Styela clava: one gene and its partner. The protein of the gene in region 2 binds, or shares a complex with, the protein of the main gene of each other region. Links are inferred from orthologs where the notes say so. Each region holds a gene or a part of one and is shown on either strand. Other genes may lie near its edges. The genes, in order: cell cycle checkpoint protein RAD1-like and checkpoint protein HUS1-like.

Region 1 (9,047 bases), on a different chromosome or scaffold from region 2:
TTTACTGTTGTACGTCTGAACAACTGATATATACTTGAGATATCAAAATGTTCGATTGTTTTTGGTGAAAATGGCATTTTTGATAATTTTTTTTCTAATGTTTTCCGACATTGACCAGAGCAGCTGTTGCCATCTAAATTCTGATGAAAATATGAAATTCTTATCAAACTCTATGCATGTGCAAAAATTTAAAGTTAGGCACAGCTGCGGTGCATGTATTTGTCCTGTTTTTTTGCAAATTATTTTGTATTTATGGTTTTATCAGATGTTACAAACATTAGTGTATGTAATTTGTTAATTATCCTGTAAGGTATGTAATTTATATCTGCATATTGGCTGATAAAAATAATTTATGATCTAGTGTTGGTTTTGCCACATTGATTACAACACAGCAGAGAGAGAATCGCCTTGAAAATGTGTCTGTAACATTTCTTGTGTTATATGTTCTTGTAATTGTTAGGTAATCTTTACGTAGTGTATAATTAAAAGTGGGAATTATACAATATTTTTATTGCTAATCAAATTCACTGAAGTTGGGGATTAATTGTGGACGATATTATTTTAACTATCAGTAGAGGTTGCGTGACACTAACTCCCAATCCTTCCTCAATGCCTTTGTGTATGCGTATAATGCAAGGATGTTGCGGCAGGAATAAAAATACCATGCTATACATACTCAATTTGAATTGATTAGTATGGTATTATTGTAGTTCATGTTTCATATTCATTCATCCAAATCTAATTGTTAACAGAAAAAAATGTGCCCAATCATATTTTAGGACTAAATTTACGTTACTTTATGAAATTGTTTAGGGTGCATATCCTTAAAGTGGTATCATCCTTCATTTATTACGTAAGAGGGTATTAGTTTTGGAACAATTTTTTTCTTAAATTAAGCTCAGAGTTGAAAATTTTTAGTTCTGATTATAAAGATGTATTTCATGTGGTACTGTCCTTCATTTAAATATGTAATAGGGTATTAGATTAGAAACCTTTATTTCTCAAATTAAGCTTTAGAGTTGAAAATTATTAGTTCTATTATAAAAATGAATACAACTACATAATATTCTGCTCAAAGTTGGTTATTAAAGTCTAAAAAATAAGACAATTTTTGAATTTAAATATTGATCGCTAGATTACATGTACTTTGTCATTATTAAGATTTTTTAAGCCAAGTTCCATGGTTAATTGTTTTTTGATAGAAATGCAGTCATTGATCGCTGGCAATAGTGTAGCAAGCGTAGGTTTTATTTTGTTGAATGCATTGTGCAATCATTGTTAAATCTTATCAAGTTGTTCCAATTCAAAGTGACTGAAAAGTTTTACCAAAACTTGTGCTTCCCGATGCCTTTCTTTTGGGGCCTCAATATCATTTTTTATAAAAATTGTTAGTTTTAGTCAAAAGTTTCTATTTGTTGTTTCTTTGAATGGCATCAATTATTGGTTACATACTACTTCAATGCAAAAATGTTTAGAAAATTCTGGATTCAAAATTGATTGTGCTTTGTTAACACTGGTTGTAATTTTTTTACAACTAAACATGGTATAATCAGTGCTTACAATCATTAGTAAGTGGCAAACGTTTTTCCATTTTGATTCTGGAATAATAAAAATAAAGCACAAAATCTTGGGTTGAAAATTTTGTTGTTTAATATTAGTTTACAAAAAAACTTCATCCTTTTTTCATCCTGAAACACATAAATGTCCTCTACAATCACTTTCTGAAATTTGCACACTTTATGCAATATTATATCTGATATAATATTATTCAAAAGTGTCTTGTTTATTAAGTGCATAGGTATACAATGCCATCTTAAATGTTATATTTCAATATTGCTTAAATTATAAAAAGTCTGTTTTTGACAATGACACCAATCTTATTTGAATGTTCAGTGAATCCTTTGATTTGGTATTCCATACCGTTTCACATTATTTTACATCGATGGATAATGCAAAAAATCATATATAACTAATGTTTTTGTGTTTGTGTATACACTATCTATTGTGAGTTTAAATTGATATGTTATTGACGGAGTGCAAATATGAAACACTCTATAATGGTTTCATAGTTATTTGGAGAAAATAAGTTGAATCAAGGTAATTGTATTAAAATAAAATAAGTCCTTAAAAACTTTGTCCTTAGAATTCAATTCACCCACTGAAACTAAACGCCAACAAGCATCAACAAACACAATCAAGTCATTCACTTCTAAACAATGCTAAACACATTTCCAGATTCATTCCTAAAAAAATATTTTGGCATTTTTTTCTGAAATTTTGATCCAAATTATTGCTATAAAGATGTGTCAAATTTTGTGACAATAAATTAAACTTTTATCCTGATTTTTGCATATGGATCAATATAACAGCCTTCAACGAATCTCAATATGGCATAATATTTCAACCTAAAAAATGTCCAAAATGCTATTTTGACTTATTTCACTGTCGCTTGTAGTTGTGTAATTAAATAATTGTTTCTAAATCCCAGCCATATAACCTTAGTTGAATTTATATTTAGTATAGATATAGACTAATTATGCCAATGACCTATACTTTAGTTACACTGGGTTTTTGACTGGGATAATCACTGCACGCTTTCTAGGTTATGTGCTTTGCAATACTGTAAACGGATTTTGTTCTTATTTTAGAATGATAATGTAGTAATTTTTTTCCAAACAAAGACTGCTTTTTGGGTATAAAAATAAGAAAAATGTCACACATCAGTAGGATCGCGTCTCCTATGAGCTTATGTGAAGAGGATTTATTCGATGTTGACAAAAAAGTACAAAGCAAAATTCGTCTTCTTGAACAATTACAAAAAGAATCGCCCGCTTCTTTTCTTGTTGGTACGATTGGAAAAATTAACCAAAGAATCACCAATCTTGATGAAGAATTATCAAAATATGAGAGCCAGCTTGAAATTGACAGTAGAACACCAGAGCCGCAAAAGAGAACTGAATCTTATGCTGAAAGCTATTCTCCCTCTATGAGCATTCGTGGAACAACTCCTTCAGAGAAAAAGTATGGTGCTGATGTAGAAAAACAAGCTCCTGGAACTCCAAGAGCAAAATCAAGTGACGCTCCTCGATTGGTTGAACTCCAGCAGTTCCCAGGATGGAATAAGAAGAAATGTGCTCCTCTACCGCATTCTCTACAAACTAACAAGGTGCTTGATAATGTTGTCGCTGCTCAACCAGATTTGAAACACAAAGTTGCGTTTCGTCGGGAGTTTTGCAGACTACTGTTTTCAAAAATGCAAGAATCGATACTGCAAGATGGTTTCTGGTGGTTTTTCTTGAGAAAATTTCATCCTGATCCAATCAACCAAGGCAAGCTCTTTAAAAGAATATCAACCAATTTTGTTGGTCTGTTACTCAGTGCTGAAATTCCGAAGTATAGAGATTTGTTTTTCGCTAATTATGGTACAATTCTGGCTCAATCAATTTATGCTGCTTTTTGCCTTGCATTTCCGCAGTCATGGAGGCAGTTTGACGAACCAGCGTTCAAGGAAATGTTAGCTCAAGTTTGCGGCGAATGGATTTCAGGTATTCCACCGCCACCTCGCTCTTATGAAAAATGGAATATGGCAGCTTTAGAGCCAGATGGGATGCGAAAGGAGGAAGTTATAAAAAAGAAAAAGAGACCTGATCATGCAGCCAAGTCTCTAGGTGGAAGAGCAAGTTCATACAGCTCCGCTGCTTCAACTAAAACATCGTCAATTCGATCACCGACTGGATCTCAAAAAACGCATGGATTAAGAATGCATACTGCTAAATCAGATGCTGCATCTTGTGCACATTCTCCTAAACTAACACCGCGTGTTGCGGAATTAGCATCTGAGCAAAATGCCCTTTCAACAATTACAGAAGAACCTTTGACATCAACCACTGAAAGCACTGCTGGATTAAGAACGAAGTTTATTGCACCAAAAAGCGATTCATCTTGTGCTGCTGGGCGTGCAATGGAGTTTTCAAGGAATGTCTTCAACGTGTATGGTCGCTCACCATTGCTTGTTCAATTTTCTCGTCAATATGGTTTCGAGAAAAAATCCTTTTTTGATGTATTAGTCCAGCATTCACTTATTCAAACACCACCAGCTAAAGATGCCCAAACCTATCAAGACATCATTTACGAGAGCAGAATTAAAGCATCCGCCGCAGCACAATCTTTCAAACATATTTACGAAGAAGACATGAAAGCTCACAAATCTTTTTGTGCAAAACAGCGAGAGGAATTACAAAATTTCAAAAAGAAAACGGATAAATTATTGTCGAAGCCACGTCAAGTTCACTATCTTAGTAATCTCATCTTGATGGAAATGAAGAACTTAGAAGAAGATACGAATCCGGTTGGTGCCACTGCAACAGTTCAAGCTGCTTTATCTGCAGAATCAGCTGATTAAAATGTTAGATAACATATCACTGTGCCTTATCAGTTATCTTAGTATTAATATATAAATTGTATTATGTTGTCATAGTTTTAACATCTATTGTTCACTGTAATTTTCGTAACTGCTGTACTACTACTTTACCTAAATATATCTTCAAGTGTAGTTTTAATTTTATAGTTATAATATATTTAAGTTTCATTGCCATGATTATACCATACAAATTGATACAATGTATTTTACCAAAGTTGTGTGTGCTTATTGTAGTTTTACAAGCATATAATAAAATGACATGTTTTCGAAAATTATCATAAATTCCATAAAAAGTGCTTCGTGATATTATTTTATCTAATATATCTTCAACTGTTTGTAGTTTTTTGAATGAATTTAGATTAAAATTATTCGTTGGTGCCATTGACATGATTATACAATGATGTAATTTATCAAATTTTTGCGTGCCTATAAGCCCATTGTATTGTTACAAGTATTTAATAGAATGATATTTTTTTAGTTATTATTACAAATTCCAAAAAAAGAGTACTTCATGGTATTATTTTACCTAACATATCTTCAAATGTTTGTAGCTTACCTGTTACAGCATAATTTAATGAAATGTCATTGCCATGACTATACAATGCTGTTTTTTATAATATGTTTGTGTGCTTATTGCCTATTATAGTTTTACAAGCATATAATAAAATGATTTGTTCTATTTTTAGATATTACTGTTAATCCAAAAAAGCTGTTTTACTTTATAAATATTGATAAATGGATGGCACAACGCTTGAAGATGAGGATTACACATTCCTAGCCAAACTTGGTAATGCAAGAAATCTTTCACACATTTTAAAAGCGATACATTTCAAAGATGTAGCAACTGTATTTGTAACAGAAAACGGTTTGAAAGTAACTGTAGAAGATGCGAAATGTTTGCAAGCTAATGCTTTCATTCAAGCAACTGTTTTTGATGAATATGATGTCCATGAAGAAGTAAACTTCTGTATCAATTTGAACGTTCTTCAAGAGTGTTTAACTATATTTGGAAGTAGTTCCATTATGACAACATCGTTAAAAATGGTTTATGGGGGATATGGTTCACCTCTTACTCTAACCTTAGAAGAAGAAAACATTACAACTGATTGTAGTATAAAGACGCAAGAGTCAGAAGAGACTCTAGATTTTGAATTCTGCGCTGCTAATGTTGTTAATAAAATTATAATGAAAGCTGATTGTCTGCGAGACGCTTTTAACGAGTTAGACCACACTTCTGATGTGGTTGAGATTACGATGTCTCCACAAAAACCATATTTCCGACTTTCAAGCTCAGGATATTGTGGACGAACAGATAATGATATTCATAAAGATTCTGATATGGTAGAAATCTTTCAATGCTCAGAGCCGCAGTCAAATCAGTACCGTTTATCCTTGCTAAAACCTTCCGTAAAAGCAGTTAATCTTGCAAGTAAAGTCTGTATAAGAATGGATCATCGTGGGTTTTTATCCTTCCAATACATGATCAAAAATGAAAGTGGACAAATTTGTTTTGTTGAATATTATTGTTGTCCAGATGAAAAATTTGATGAAGAAGATGTTTGACTTTAACACAAACCATTTTACCCTGTGCAAACTAGCAAAAAATATTCATGTATCTAAATATGAACCCATTCAGACCTTAAATCAACAGTATTAATAGCTGGGAAAGTACAGATGGCATCAGTAATTTTAGATTTTCACTTCATTTGTCAGTGGTTATTTAGCTTTCAATCATCAATTTCTTTTAAAATGTTGTTTATACACATAGTTCTTATTGTTTTTTACACTCTTTTCAGAATAGCATAAGCATGCTGTGTCCCATTATTAAATATCGTAATTTATTTTGTCATAAATGGACATCAAAGTTTTTTTCAATGTCCTGCGCAAAAAACAGCGTCAAAAAATCTTCAGTGATAAAGCCACAAAACATTCTTAACTTGCACAAGCGAGGACTTTTAGAAGATATTTTTCCAAATGCTTCTGTCTCATTGCCAGAGCAGTTATTAAAACAACAATGCTTTTATTGTGGCTTTGATCCAACATCCGACAGTCTACACATTGGAAATTTAATGTCTTTAATGCTACTGTTGCATTGTCAAAGAGCTGGTAAGTACTGTAAAGAATAGTAATCTCTAACAACATAGTTTTGCTGTATTATACTTTCAAAAATAGGAACATGGAAACAGAGTATTTTATGCTCAATACACAGAATAAACCAATAGCAAACTCAAGTAGAGAACAATGTATAACAAATACACGACAAAGTCCGTTACAGTGGCTGTGCTCCAGTACCTATCATGTAAAAATGCATTGTACTTAGTCCATAAAGCAATTTGTCAATTAAAAAATGATGAGAATTTTCATGTTTTAGTCTATACAAAATATTCATAGGTCTATTTCATATCTGATTATGTTGGTTTGTTTTAATGAAAAATGACGAGGAAAATTAGGGGACAAATACGATGGCCAGTTTTTCATCTAGAAACTTGAATTATATTTCTGAAATATATATCTGTGCTTTGTATTCAACGTTGTTTCAAAAAAAGTGTTCTTATCCCTTCTAATAACGCTAATATTTATAGGACATAATGTGATCGCTGTTATTGGAAATGCAACTGCGAGAATTGGAGATCCGAGCGATCAAACAAAAGACAGAAATTCAGTCTCGACAGATGTATTAGACAAAAACACAAAAGGACTTATCAATTGTATCACAAATATATTTGAAACTCATGAACAGGAGCATTATATTCATCGCGGAGTTAAAGAACTACCAACAATAAAGATTTTAAATAATTATGATTGGTATCGAGATATCAATGTTGTGGATTTTTTTGCCAATGCTGGAAGGAAATTTCGAATGGGTCCTATGCTTGGTAGGTAAATAAATAAGGTATTTTGTTGTTCAGTTTTTTTGGTAAAATTAAACGAAATTCCTGATTGAAAATGAAGTATATATTATGTGTGAATATCAGGAAAAACGTAGTCAAAATTTATTCCTTGACAACCAAAGATGCAAAAAATAATTTCCTCCTGGAGTTTTATGGACTCTAATATTTTACCCCAATTTATTTTGTTTTTAATTCATAGAAACAATTTTTATAACATATTTGAGTACTTCTCTCTTGTTTTTTTCAGGTTCTAAATTTCATTTAATTTGCATTGCAATTAAATTTGTGTGCCTTGTTAAGTTACATACTGTAGCGAATGTGCATTGTGTAACTATGAATTATAATGTATTTAACCCTTTCATTTTAATAGTGTGTTCCATTTCCCACAATAGGTCATTTTATTGTAGCATTACTGATTACATGTACTGCCTTTCTCGTATCGACCAATTTGATGACGTATCGTTCCGGCTTGCCGAGAGGGCTGCAAATATTGTGTTTAGATTTCACTTCTGTTTTACTGCGTTAAGCGGTTGTGTTTTGTTTCACTCCTGATTTACTGTGTTAAGAGTTAAGTGTGTTGCAATTTTATCTGTTTCCGGAATTTGGATTGTGCATCTTCCTATAATATACAACAATCGAACTTAAATATATAGGTGATAGTCTTTATCCCCCCATCATCACCATCTCTTTATCCCTATAATACCATATGGATCAAAGCATTAAAACACTATTCCGTGCTTTAACGATGAATTTTGAAATTTTTACGATTTTACAAGGTAATTGTGTGAAAAGCATTTTTCTTAATTTCCAAATTTTTAACATTTCTTCTAGATAAAAGATTTGTAAAAGAAAGATTGAATAGTTCTGAAGGACTTCTTTTGCCTGAATTCCTGTATCAAGTATATCAAGCATATGACTGGTTACATTTATTACAAAATTATAATTGTCGATTTCAATTTGGAGGTTCCGATCAACTTGGTAACATGAATGCAGGACGTTATCTCATTGATCGGTAAGTTTAAATGTTCGTTTCATTCAACATATGGTGCTAAAGATATCATATATCACTACAGGAAAAGTTTGTATTCATTCATTAAGTGACCTATTACATACAGATCAAATCAAATCTTCTTATACTTCTAAATGAATTCTAATGGTTTAGTGTGACATTTTTTATTTTAAACGAAAATATTTTTGTTTAAAATATTATTCTCAATACGTTGACAATAACTCATGTATGTTGTTTGTTGGATTAAACAAAATTGAAATATATTCAATAGCAGAAATAGTTTTTCAGAATATGTTCTGAATAGTACAATATTTGGTTTTGCTTGTAACTGGATTGGTATTAGTTTAATGTGGTTATACATGCGAACTTGGATTTCATCACGAGATTAACATGCCTTGTGGTCACAGTTACGCTAGATCACATTTTACACCGCAAAAAACTTATAATGCTGTTCAATCATAATTTGGCGATCCACAAAAATGTTAACACTGTATCAACATGAAAAGGACTTCCTGAGCTTATTTTGTATGTGAATAGGTTCATTCATATCTAGCTATGAATAGAAAATGAAACATGAATTGCAGCAGGATTTTATTATATTTTTGTTTACTGTAAAACAAAACTATGTACTGGTATACATTTCTCTTTCTTTACTACAATTACTATAAACATTCAATGGGAAGACCAAGACTTTGTGATTATATTGTTTTGCCATTTTGGGTATATT
Region 2 (10,463 bases):
TAATAAAGCATATGACTGATTGGTTGATAATGATGTTGCAGAAGGTAAATGTCATTGGTTCAATGCAAAGTTGGGAACAACCATTTAGAGGTGCTCTGTATGCAGCTGTTAATACAAAAGGATACCAATTACCCTCCGTTTGGTGCAAAGTAGTAACTGCAATTGTCAAGCCGATGCTTAGACAAGATAATTGATGGTCTACAATCATGATTCAAATTTAATATCTTGAAGCAATTAGTTTATGTTGAGCATTCCTGCTACTGATCTTGTCACTGTCAAACACCATTCCCTTTTTATAGTTGGTATGGTTTGTTAAAATAAAAGTCATATATATACGACTTATTTGTTCATATTTTGCCAATATGGGTTCAGCTACTGTAAATGCCATTTCTCTTTCACTACACTGATGTATTTAGTCTGATTGTAAGGGCACTAAAGATTTTATGCTTAATCAGTTTAGTCTCTAATCAATAACCCCTGCTGTACTGAAAATGATGACCAGGGCAAAACTTTACATTGGTCGTTTTCATACTGACGGGTGAGAGATCACCATCACAAAATTGTAACTAAAAGAACATAAAGGGCGAGGGACCGCAATCATGAGCTCAATACTAGGGTTGCTGTTTTGAGACCAGATTTGAAATCCAGGGGTCTGGCCTCAACTGACGTAGGTTCGATTGTTCTTAGTTAGTGCGTCACACATATTTTCTGGCCTATTCCTGCTTGTCTCATATAGCAGCATTTCTTTCTCAACCACCGCCATTCAACATCTATAAGTACACCTTCGTTCCTCTGTCTTCACAAGGTTCCAAGTCATTTGAGTGTCTGGTCAGCCCAAACTTGCAACCATTGAATAAGAGCTTGGCATGACCTGTCTATGTTTTCTCTATGATAACTACATTTTATCCACCAATTTGGGCAACAGGAAAATTCACATACATACAAAGTTGAACAAAAAATATATATTAACAAGTTCAGAAAAACATTAACACATATTGAAGTATCATCTTGCTATGGCAGGTATGAAATATTGCAGAGATAATTCATCATGAAGAAGGAAAAATTGTACTATGGTCCCATCAACGATATCTGCAAAAAATGACATTTCATTTGTTATAGCACATGTCAAATTTGGGGAATTAAATAAATATTTAACAAAAACTGAAAACTGGCCATTGCTCAAAATAGACACAAAGGCCAAAACAAGTAGTATCAAATCTTTTACACTGCAAGTAGTCTAACCACCAAATCACTGAGATGTGACTACGGTGCACAGTTTCCAATTTTAATGAGGCCATCACACAGAAATTTTTGAAATAAATAAAAATAATAGCAACAAGCTCTCACCACCTGAAATTTTAAAACAATTCGTCGAGTAGTTGAAGAGAAAAGCAAATTTTTCACAACAACAACAAAAAGATACATAGGTCAATTCATGTCCAAAAACACTTACTGCAAATCACACGCTCTGGGTTTATAATCTGTCCTGCCAAAAACTGCAGAAATTTTTTGATATCTATTCTAGCACTGGCAAACTCATCAGGAGGCCAAGCAAGCCTGTGAGAGACACTTTGGACTTCTTCATCTTCCATGCGCACATCAGGGATATCCAGATCTTGAAAACTAAAAACATAAAAAATGTCTGCTTTTATTGTCAAAATATCGGAAACAGCACACAAATTCGAGCTCGCACTTTGTCATGTATACCACCTACTATACTAGGGCTGCAGAGTCTAGGGCAGACAGGTGTGGGCACGGTTTTTAGATTAGGGGCCAATTTGCCCACCTAGACTGGCGGGCCATGTAAGTATGAGGTAAAGAGTTTCATTTTATGAACAATGTTTACAGTGTTACAAAAGCAACAGTGGAAAACAATAAACCTCATGCCAAAACTAAATTTAACCGCAATCTCAACAAATACCTTGAGTTATATTTAACTAAAACATCAAAGTTTGGTCGTGGCAGCATCGGACGGGCCGGATTTCGCTCACGGGCCATACTTGTCTGGTCTAGGACAACCAAACTCTGACCTCACAGCACTGGACTATACTGTAGATATGTCCTGGTGTCATTTTTAGCCAATCAATATCAAACCAAATATCTTCAAACGATCTATTGATGTCTTTCGTGACAAAAATGAAATGCAAAAAATTTTCGAGTTATTGTAATAATATTATTCAATTATTGTAATAATAGTCCTTGAAATATTAATCTGATGACTACATGTCAGGACAAATGTATACAAGAAAGCAGAAAACCAGACACATGATTGGCAGTTTCGGACATGCAGATACTTTGAAATAATATGTTGAACAGCTTTACCTAGTTTTCACTGTAACAAGATCTGTGTCAACTCTCATCAACATCTCACCCTGCTGATTTGCAGCAAGAATCAAATATGAGCTGATGTTTTTCATTTTTTCCGCAATTGTCTTGACCTGATAACAATTATTTTTTTTCATACAAATTGAAGATGGCATAAAAATAATTTTAGGCCCTATAAAAACTATATATGTATAAATTAATATGCAAATTCAGGCAGGCATATTGATTAAACACACTGTTATTGGTATTTAAAACGATCTCACCATTTTCAATGGAGGCATAAATATTGTCACATGGTAGTTTGGCATATTTGGCTCTGCATAATCTCCCCACAGTCTTCTTGGTATTACTGTTACAGGAATATCATGTGTTACAGTCCGCGAGTCAGACGCTAGAGATGGCTGAAATGTTTTATTATATGGCAATTATCAATGAATAAAGCCCTTTATGTCTTAAATTCTATATATCTTTACCAATTCAACTTCTAGTGATAGACATGGACTTTGTTTCTTCGTCAGTTTGATTTTTAATGCTTTTGCAGCTTGTGCAGATTTCAGTGCTCGACTTAAATTTTCTGCTACAACCTCAAGATAGATTTCATTGCAATCCTTGTTTACTCCTTCCATCTGGTATTCATCAAAGAAGTTTTCCTAGAAAAATGCATATCGTTCAATACTCTGTATCCGGATAACTCAAGTTTGAAAAATTACTTTTTATATGAAAACAAAAATTAAGGCTTGGCGGTGTGGCGAATCGTGCTAAGCGTTAGGAATGCATTCGCACCTCTGATTACACTGCGTGTATCCGGGGATAGCTATGTGCGAAAGAATTGCTGAACTCCTCGCCGCCGTAGGGTGGTTCATGTGATCGGTTGCGGCTTCCTCCACCATCAAGTCCATGCTTCCGAAAATAAATAACTGGCTAACTAATCCCATACCCAACATGGATTGGTAACCGGACGAGAGGCCGATTAAAGAGTCTTTCCTCTACCCCGGGATAAATATGTAAATCCAAAAAGTAGAAGCTGATTGGGTGCCACTCTGACAATGATTGAGTTCCCTGAATGCTCAATTATCATTGAAATTGGCCAACACATTATATCTAATACGAAAACACATACCTGCTTGATTTCACACCACATGCTGACCCCTCCATTAGAAACCTGATCTGGTAGAATGAAATAAACTTTTTCAGAAGTGAAACGGAGGGTGCATTTCTTTAAAAGTTTGGATATTGTATTCACAACTCCTGAAATACAATGCATAAATTGAATAATTCTAACTAACACTTACTTACTCACGGTATGTTAACCATGTATGGATGTACTAGCTCTCACGGTTTTGATATTATATTATAGGGAAATATCCCTGAACCCGGTTTGAGTACGATACGGTACCGGTACCACACGCCTGACGGTACCGGTATCTAGACTAAAGTGTTAGTTTTATATAGACCTAGCCTACATAATTTGAAACTATGGGTAAATAGTTTACTTCTTTCCTTGAACAGCCTGGAAATAGTACTCACTTGTCAAGTGGTGCACACATCCGATATCAACAACTTTTGCTCGAAAACGCATCCTGTTTTAGTGACTTAAAAGCATAAGCGACTCGCAAATTCCACAATTGAACAAGCGCGGCAATGTGAATCGGGGGGATCCCCCATAAGAAAGTGTTAAGCTATTCTTAGTTGCCAGATTTTTATTGAGTTCATCCATGGAATTCTAACGATTGTTCTAATTGTCTTTGCATGAAATTCTTTATCGTGAGTTCTGTGTTGTAGGTGCAACGTAGTTCTATATAAAATGCCCGGTCATTTTTTCTTTCTTAGTTCTTCGGAAAATTGGAATGATGCGTTCCGCATCCTGAATATGTTCATAACTATAATTCGTATTGCTAAATTGTTGTTCGTGTTAGTGCAAAAATTTATATACGCATTTTTGTTAGTTTCTCCGCAGTATTTTTGCTTCTTGTGCTGATTTCCCCGAAAATAAGACCTACACTGAAAATGAGACCTAGCCTTAATTTTAAAAATGATTTTAATATAAGCCACCACCCCCTTCAAATAAGACCTGGTCAATAACGTGATTTTTTTTCGACCTACCGGTAGTTGATAGCAAGAAATTTCTCCTAAACTTTTTGAATGATTGGTAATCCATGTTTTGCAGTTATTTTGCAGTTAAAAACGTGTTATTTAAAAGTAATTTGATATCGGTTTCATATTTGAAAATCTTGTAATTCTCTACTTCATAATTTTGTTTTTGATAAATGAAAATATAAGACATCCCCCTAAAATAAGTCCTAGTGTTATTTTTCGAAAAAAATGAAATAAGACCCAGTCTTATTTTCGGGAAACACGGTAGTTATGCATATCTATCCATCTAGGGCAGTGGTTCTCAAATCTTAACCTTTTTACTTTTGTGGCCAATTTTCGCTGCCCAAAAATTCTTGTGACCCATACATTTTTGCAAGTGATAAACTAGAAAAAAAATCCAAATCTTTCTGTAAAAATGGACACTTTCACTTTAATAATTAGAAAGAAACTTATTACTCAGAAAACAATCATTGTTAGTGCAATCAAAATTATTGATAGTGACATAAATCAACTGTGGCATTTTTTAATAGTTCTGTGGTCCACCTAAAAATCTTTCCATGGCATGCTGAGTCGGTGACTTACTTGAAACAGAGAATTGTGATCTACAGCGGATAACCCATGTACTGGCATATATTTTCAAAATAAACTTAATTTGCTCCGAGTAGCCCCAAATATATTGAAACCAAAATAACAGCATTTTACAAATATATGGACAGGGTGGTGCAGTAACTAACCGCAGTATTTTTGTTGCAACAACACAAACTACTTCTTGTAATCCGTATTGAGTGATTCCATTCTCAAGCGCTTGGATTTATCTTGTTTCAATGACGTAATTACCATAAAGTTTCTTACTTACTTAGTAACCCATAACTACGTAATGGCGCAATAAAAAAAATTCTTTTCAGCTATAGGCTTTTGATAATTCATAGATACGATAGTAAAAGTGAATATATCGGAAAGAAGGAATTGAAAAAAATATATATCGCTAATCCCGCACCAAAGCAAATATTTGTAGATAAAATGTTATAGGTTCCCCATTACGATAGCTGACAAATTTTGATTGTATAAGCCTGATCCTTTAATTTAAATTACAGTTTTTTTTTTTTGAATCAATGGGTGATGAACTCCACCAATTACAAACTATGGGAACTGCTGATGGGAATATTTTTCGTTCCATAATCAGGAACTGCAATCGCTCCCGACTGGTTCCATTGAAGAAGTTTATGTAATTTCCCTTATATTGGCTTTGCCAATACGCTTGGGTGAAAAGGTTTTCAAAACGTTTGATACCAGGCATTTAAAAAAACATACTACCTTGTTTTCCCGAAAATAAAACCTAGCCTCAAATTTGAAAATGATTTTATAAGCCCTCCCCCTTAAAATAAGACATAGCGATAGTATCTTTTGACTTAGTCGATAGAAAGAAATCTCTCCCACGCGTTTTAAATGATTAATCTATGTATATGAGACGATAAGGTTCAATGAAGTTCTCAATCGATGAGACCTTTCATTGTCGACATGAAACTACAGGTGCAAAAATTCGACAAAAAATTCAATTAAATTAAATCTTCATTGGCATGCAAGACATTCCAGAGGATGGTGATATGGTTTATTTCAAATCAATCTATGTTTAGCAGTTTTTTTTTTTTTTAATAAAAACGCGTTATTTATAAGTAAAGGGATATCGGTTTCCATATTTGAAAATCTCGTTATTTTCTACTTTGTAATTTCGTTTTTAATAAATGAAATTGAAACACATCACCGAAAATGAGCCCTAGTGCTATTTTTTGGAAGATAATTGAAATACCACCCTGTCCTATATTCGGGGAAACACCGTATGCTTATTTGCTGTTGAACCGCGTAGCTGAAATTGGAGATGTTTCTGATATAATCCACCCCGAAAACAAAAAAACCAGAAATCGTTGAATGAAATAGATGTTTATCAGGGATACAAGAATTTAAGAATTGATGCACGACATTTCGCTGAATTGATACCTAGCGGTTATGAAAAAGTGATATCGCATCAAGTTATTTGTACATAACCTCAAGGTATCAATTCACCGAAATGTCAGGAGTTTTATTTTCATAAAGAGAGAAAGTAAGAAGAAAATAAAAATAGAAAGATACGATACAAGTCGAAACTCTTTTGTTTCGCAGCTAACTATCAGCTTATATTTTCGCAATATATATAGTTTCGACACTTGTGGCTTTAGTCGTCTGTGAATAAGTAGTTTCGGTAAAAACGAAGATTAACAATTTTTGCTTTTCATTTGTTGCTTCTGAAACTGAATGAGTTGAACTAAAATAGATCAACAAATTATAATATTCAACATTTACTTACAAAATGTTGAACGAATTATGCCTAACTCGAATGCGATCTTCTTCGAAACCGCTTTTGAGCAATGTGTCACGCGCACTAAGCGTAAACATGAAACGTCGACCATTACATCATCGCCTCTTCTGGGGAATTCTTCCATAAACGCCCCTTGTTGTAATTTCGAGTGAGAAACCCCCTTTTCTACAATATAAAAACCTCGATCGACTTCTCGCAAAATTTCAGTTCTACACAGTCACACAGTATAAAATGGTGAGTACTGTACTTTAAAAAATTAAATATTTATGATTTTGATATTGTCTCACCACTATCTTAGGCTAGGTTAGTTTATGGTAGGTTACGTTATTGCTGCATCCTCATCAATATTAAAAGGAAAAAAGTGGGGCAATATTAAAATCTGAAATATTCTAACTAACCTACGATAGACGACACAATCAGAAAATAAGATATAAAAGTGGTGATGCAATAACAGTGCGAGACCGCACTTTTATATTTTTTTAGTTTAAATGCCAACTCGCAATATGATCAGATATATTGAACTAATAGCTACAGGAAAGATATATTTCAGTAGGGACAAGTTTAATACCACTGGTGGTTCTGTAGTCTATCTTACCGCCCTGACTTGTAAGAAATTTTGCGAGTCAAATGAGGTCTATTTTGTTATAACGATTAGAATATATTAGTAAATCTCGTTCTCAAAATTTTAAGAAATGCCTGTAACCGCTATAGAAATCGGGTAGAAATGAAAAAAAAAAAATTATATCGAATTACATCCCAAATGCGACATGTTTAAAAGGTGTATATATTCGCATGGCATTTTTTTCCCGGACGAGAATATCCGAGGTAGATTGAGAATTAGTGAAAATGAGTTATTTATGTTTTTCTTATTGAAATCTATATCCCGCTTCTTGTTTTTGGCTTTGGCAATAATAGAATCTAATATCTATCTATATTCTATGATGACGATATTTTAATAGTAGGATTACCAAAAACGCAAAAGGCTTTTTAGATGACAATAGTATTTTTATTTCACTGAAATCAACAGCCTGCATACAGCAGATCCATTCAGAATCAAAACTAAGTTAGACTATGCCATTCTCAGGTTAGGAACTGTAAACTTAACGCTTATCAAATTCATGCAGTTCATGTAGTAAACAGGTGAAACTATACTTCGGCGACATAAAATTACTGGTAAAAATAAATTTGACGTTTGATGGGAAACACCGATATATTTTGTGTGTTGAATGTATTAAGTAAATATTAATACGTATTTGCGCAACTAGGCTACTCTTGCGCAAGTAAACGTCACAGAACAAGCGAAAGTGTTTCGTCTGTTTCTGTCTCTGACGAAATATCATACCGAGGTATTTCTTACACTCGACGTAACGCTAGACTAAACTATTATTAATAAAAACTGTGGTGTCTGTTTTACACGGACGGAAAAGGCTTTATTGCGACCTCAACCTACGCGTGTGGTCGCATCAAAGATACCTGTTGTTGGCGACATATTATAAGGTGCCAATCACTTTACTTCAGTATGTATCAGGGTGCTTCAATACGATAATCCTATTGTCTATATGTAAGGTGATAGGTAAAATAAACACCAGTGATATTTTTGTACCGTCTGGAAACTTACGAAAAATTTCTAGGTGTTATCTTTCTCGGCGGGCTTCGCATGACCGCGTGCTGTATCAATTGGGTACACTCAGCAATTTTGAAGGACAAATTATGGAAAGGGATTGTCGATCAATACACTGAAATTAGGCCTCTTATGTAAACGTAACAAGTTGTAATATCGCTAATTTATTCATAAAATGAAACTACAAAAACAAAATTCAATTTTTACACAAAATATTAAAAAAGTTACATTTCATAAATATTGGATTTTATAAATAAAGATACTGACGTAATAGTTTAACTATAGAAATAGGGTGATGCATTGCACCATCCTTTTTCAACGTCACAATTCAAATATTTGATAAACTGCACAAGTTTGAAAAGCACCTCGTGTAAATTCCTTATATTACAAACAATTGTGCTATGAATAAATATGTTATGTAATGTGCTATAAAATAGCAGTTGGACCCTAATATGTCATCCTGGTTTCAAACCTCAATAACATATCTTGTACCAACACGAAGGGTCGTCATAAATTTCGTACCGTAAGGTTTTTTTGCCTAGTTGTAGTCGCTATTCTAGATAATGAGTGTGTGTGCGGCAAGTCAATGCCCATGAAAAAGTAAACGGACCTCCTGAAGTATGCGCTCAAGATGGCGCACAATCTGAACTCAGGTTGTGTACCAGGTTGGGGTTCAGGTTGTGCGACATCTTGGTGCGCATACTTCAAGAGTACCGAGTAAATTCCCATTATAGGTGAATTTACACATGTATACAATTTGGTACGAGCGAGAAAACGAGCACCAAACAAACCATGGATTTTTGATTTTTAGTCAACGAATATTCATTTTGTGTATTTCAATACTTCAAAATGTATGCTGAATCGAAATATTTTCATTTTTAGATAACCAAGATATGTGCCGCATTGTTGCTGTTATTCACTGTTGCAACACTTGTAGTCGGATATAGAAATGAAAATAACAAACGCGTAAAATGTGGTGAAAGCTCATTCTTCAACGCCACAAGACAAGCTTGTCAAGCCTGTGGTATATGTGAACCAGGTATATGCTAATTTTTGTTTGTAACTTGTACAAGCCTAGCGTCATATGACTCTACGTATTAGAGCCACGGAATGCTGAGACTTTATTTGATTCAGGTGAACCATGGTGTTTATACTAAGACAAAATAAATGTCACGCGCTGAGAAATGACTTTGCAGTTTTTCTCGGTAGTCTTGTGATTCACAGATTGACGTCATTTGCAACTGATCTCCCCACAAATTCTCCCCAAACTTATGAGCCATGAAAATGCAACAAAATTTCGATATCAATTATAATATGATATGACGAATACGACAAAAAATATTTTATTTTGACAAACTCAACAGGCTTTATTACGATGAAATGTGTGTGTATTATTGTTGTCTGATCTCGTTATCTGGTATTCATCAAAGGTACATACATCAAAAGAACCTGTAGCGGAACTCGAGATTATCACTGCAAAAAATGTGAACCTGGACATTTTTCAACCAGATATACAAGATTGCCTGGGAAATGTCGAATGTGTAGTCGATGTGGGGATAGACCTGTTATAAAACGATGTACAAAAACATCAGATACTGTATGTGGTGATTGTCCTTTAGGTAAGAATACTCGTTAATGCGAAAATCAATGTGACGTACAAACTTTCCACACCAAAATCACATTATGACTTGTGTTCAGGCACTTTCATGTCGTTTGGACGATGCATTTCTTGTGGATATTGCTTTCCAGACTTTGGTATCGATATACCAAGGGAGCCAGCTTGTGAAAAGCCTCAGATACCAGCTTCACACCGATGTACCGTGCTCATAGTAGATCCATATGATCCACCTTATTTAGTGTCGAGGGCAGATGATGATGGAAATCAATATTTTGTATCATGTGAGTATTTGAAAATAAGTGTTTGTTCAAAAATTCTTTTCTCTCTTTTATGCCCAAAGTTATTAATATTCCATTAAAAGTTTTAAATGTTTTTTTTAAGGTTTATTCCGGCTTAAAGTGCTTTTAGTTGACGTGGAATTTTTTATGTAAAAACTGCTTCGTTTCTCTATT

What was found.
Region 1: checkpoint protein HUS1-like (region 2) and cell cycle checkpoint protein RAD1-like share a complex: the UniProt entries of both Drosophila melanogaster proteins name them as parts of the 9-1-1 checkpoint clamp complex. The link is inferred for Styela clava from reciprocal best matches to the Drosophila melanogaster genes Hus1-like and Rad1.

What each region holds. Positions count from the first base shown.
Region 1 is NC_135258.1:12,550,488-12,559,534, forward strand, and holds cell cycle checkpoint protein RAD1-like, read left to right. Parts: upstream 1-5,107; 5' UTR 5,108-5,155; coding exon 5,156-5,983; 3' UTR 5,984-5,998; downstream 5,999-9,047. Other genes in the region: protein FAM227A-like, read left to right, coding at 2,711-4,402; tyrosine--tRNA ligase, mitochondrial-like, read left to right, coding at 6,229-6,526, 7,003-7,296, 8,143-8,323.
Region 2 is NC_135253.1:6,347,041-6,357,503, forward strand, and holds checkpoint protein HUS1-like, read right to left. Parts: upstream 3,996-10,463; 5' UTR 3,905-3,995; coding exon 3,853-3,904; intron 3,574-3,852; coding exon 3,446-3,573; intron 2,976-3,445; coding exon 2,799-2,975; intron 2,727-2,798; coding exon 2,589-2,726; intron 2,439-2,588; coding exon 2,323-2,438; intron 1,624-2,322; coding exon 1,454-1,623; intron 1,090-1,453; coding exon 1,004-1,089; 3' UTR 943-1,003; downstream 1-942. Other genes in the region: focadhesin-like, read left to right, coding at 1-194; uncharacterized protein LOC120327064, read left to right, coding at 7,004-7,006, 9,276-9,432, 9,824-10,012, 10,092-10,292. UniProt on the Drosophila melanogaster protein: Component of the 9-1-1 checkpoint clamp complex. Involved in both meiotic and somatic DNA damage responses.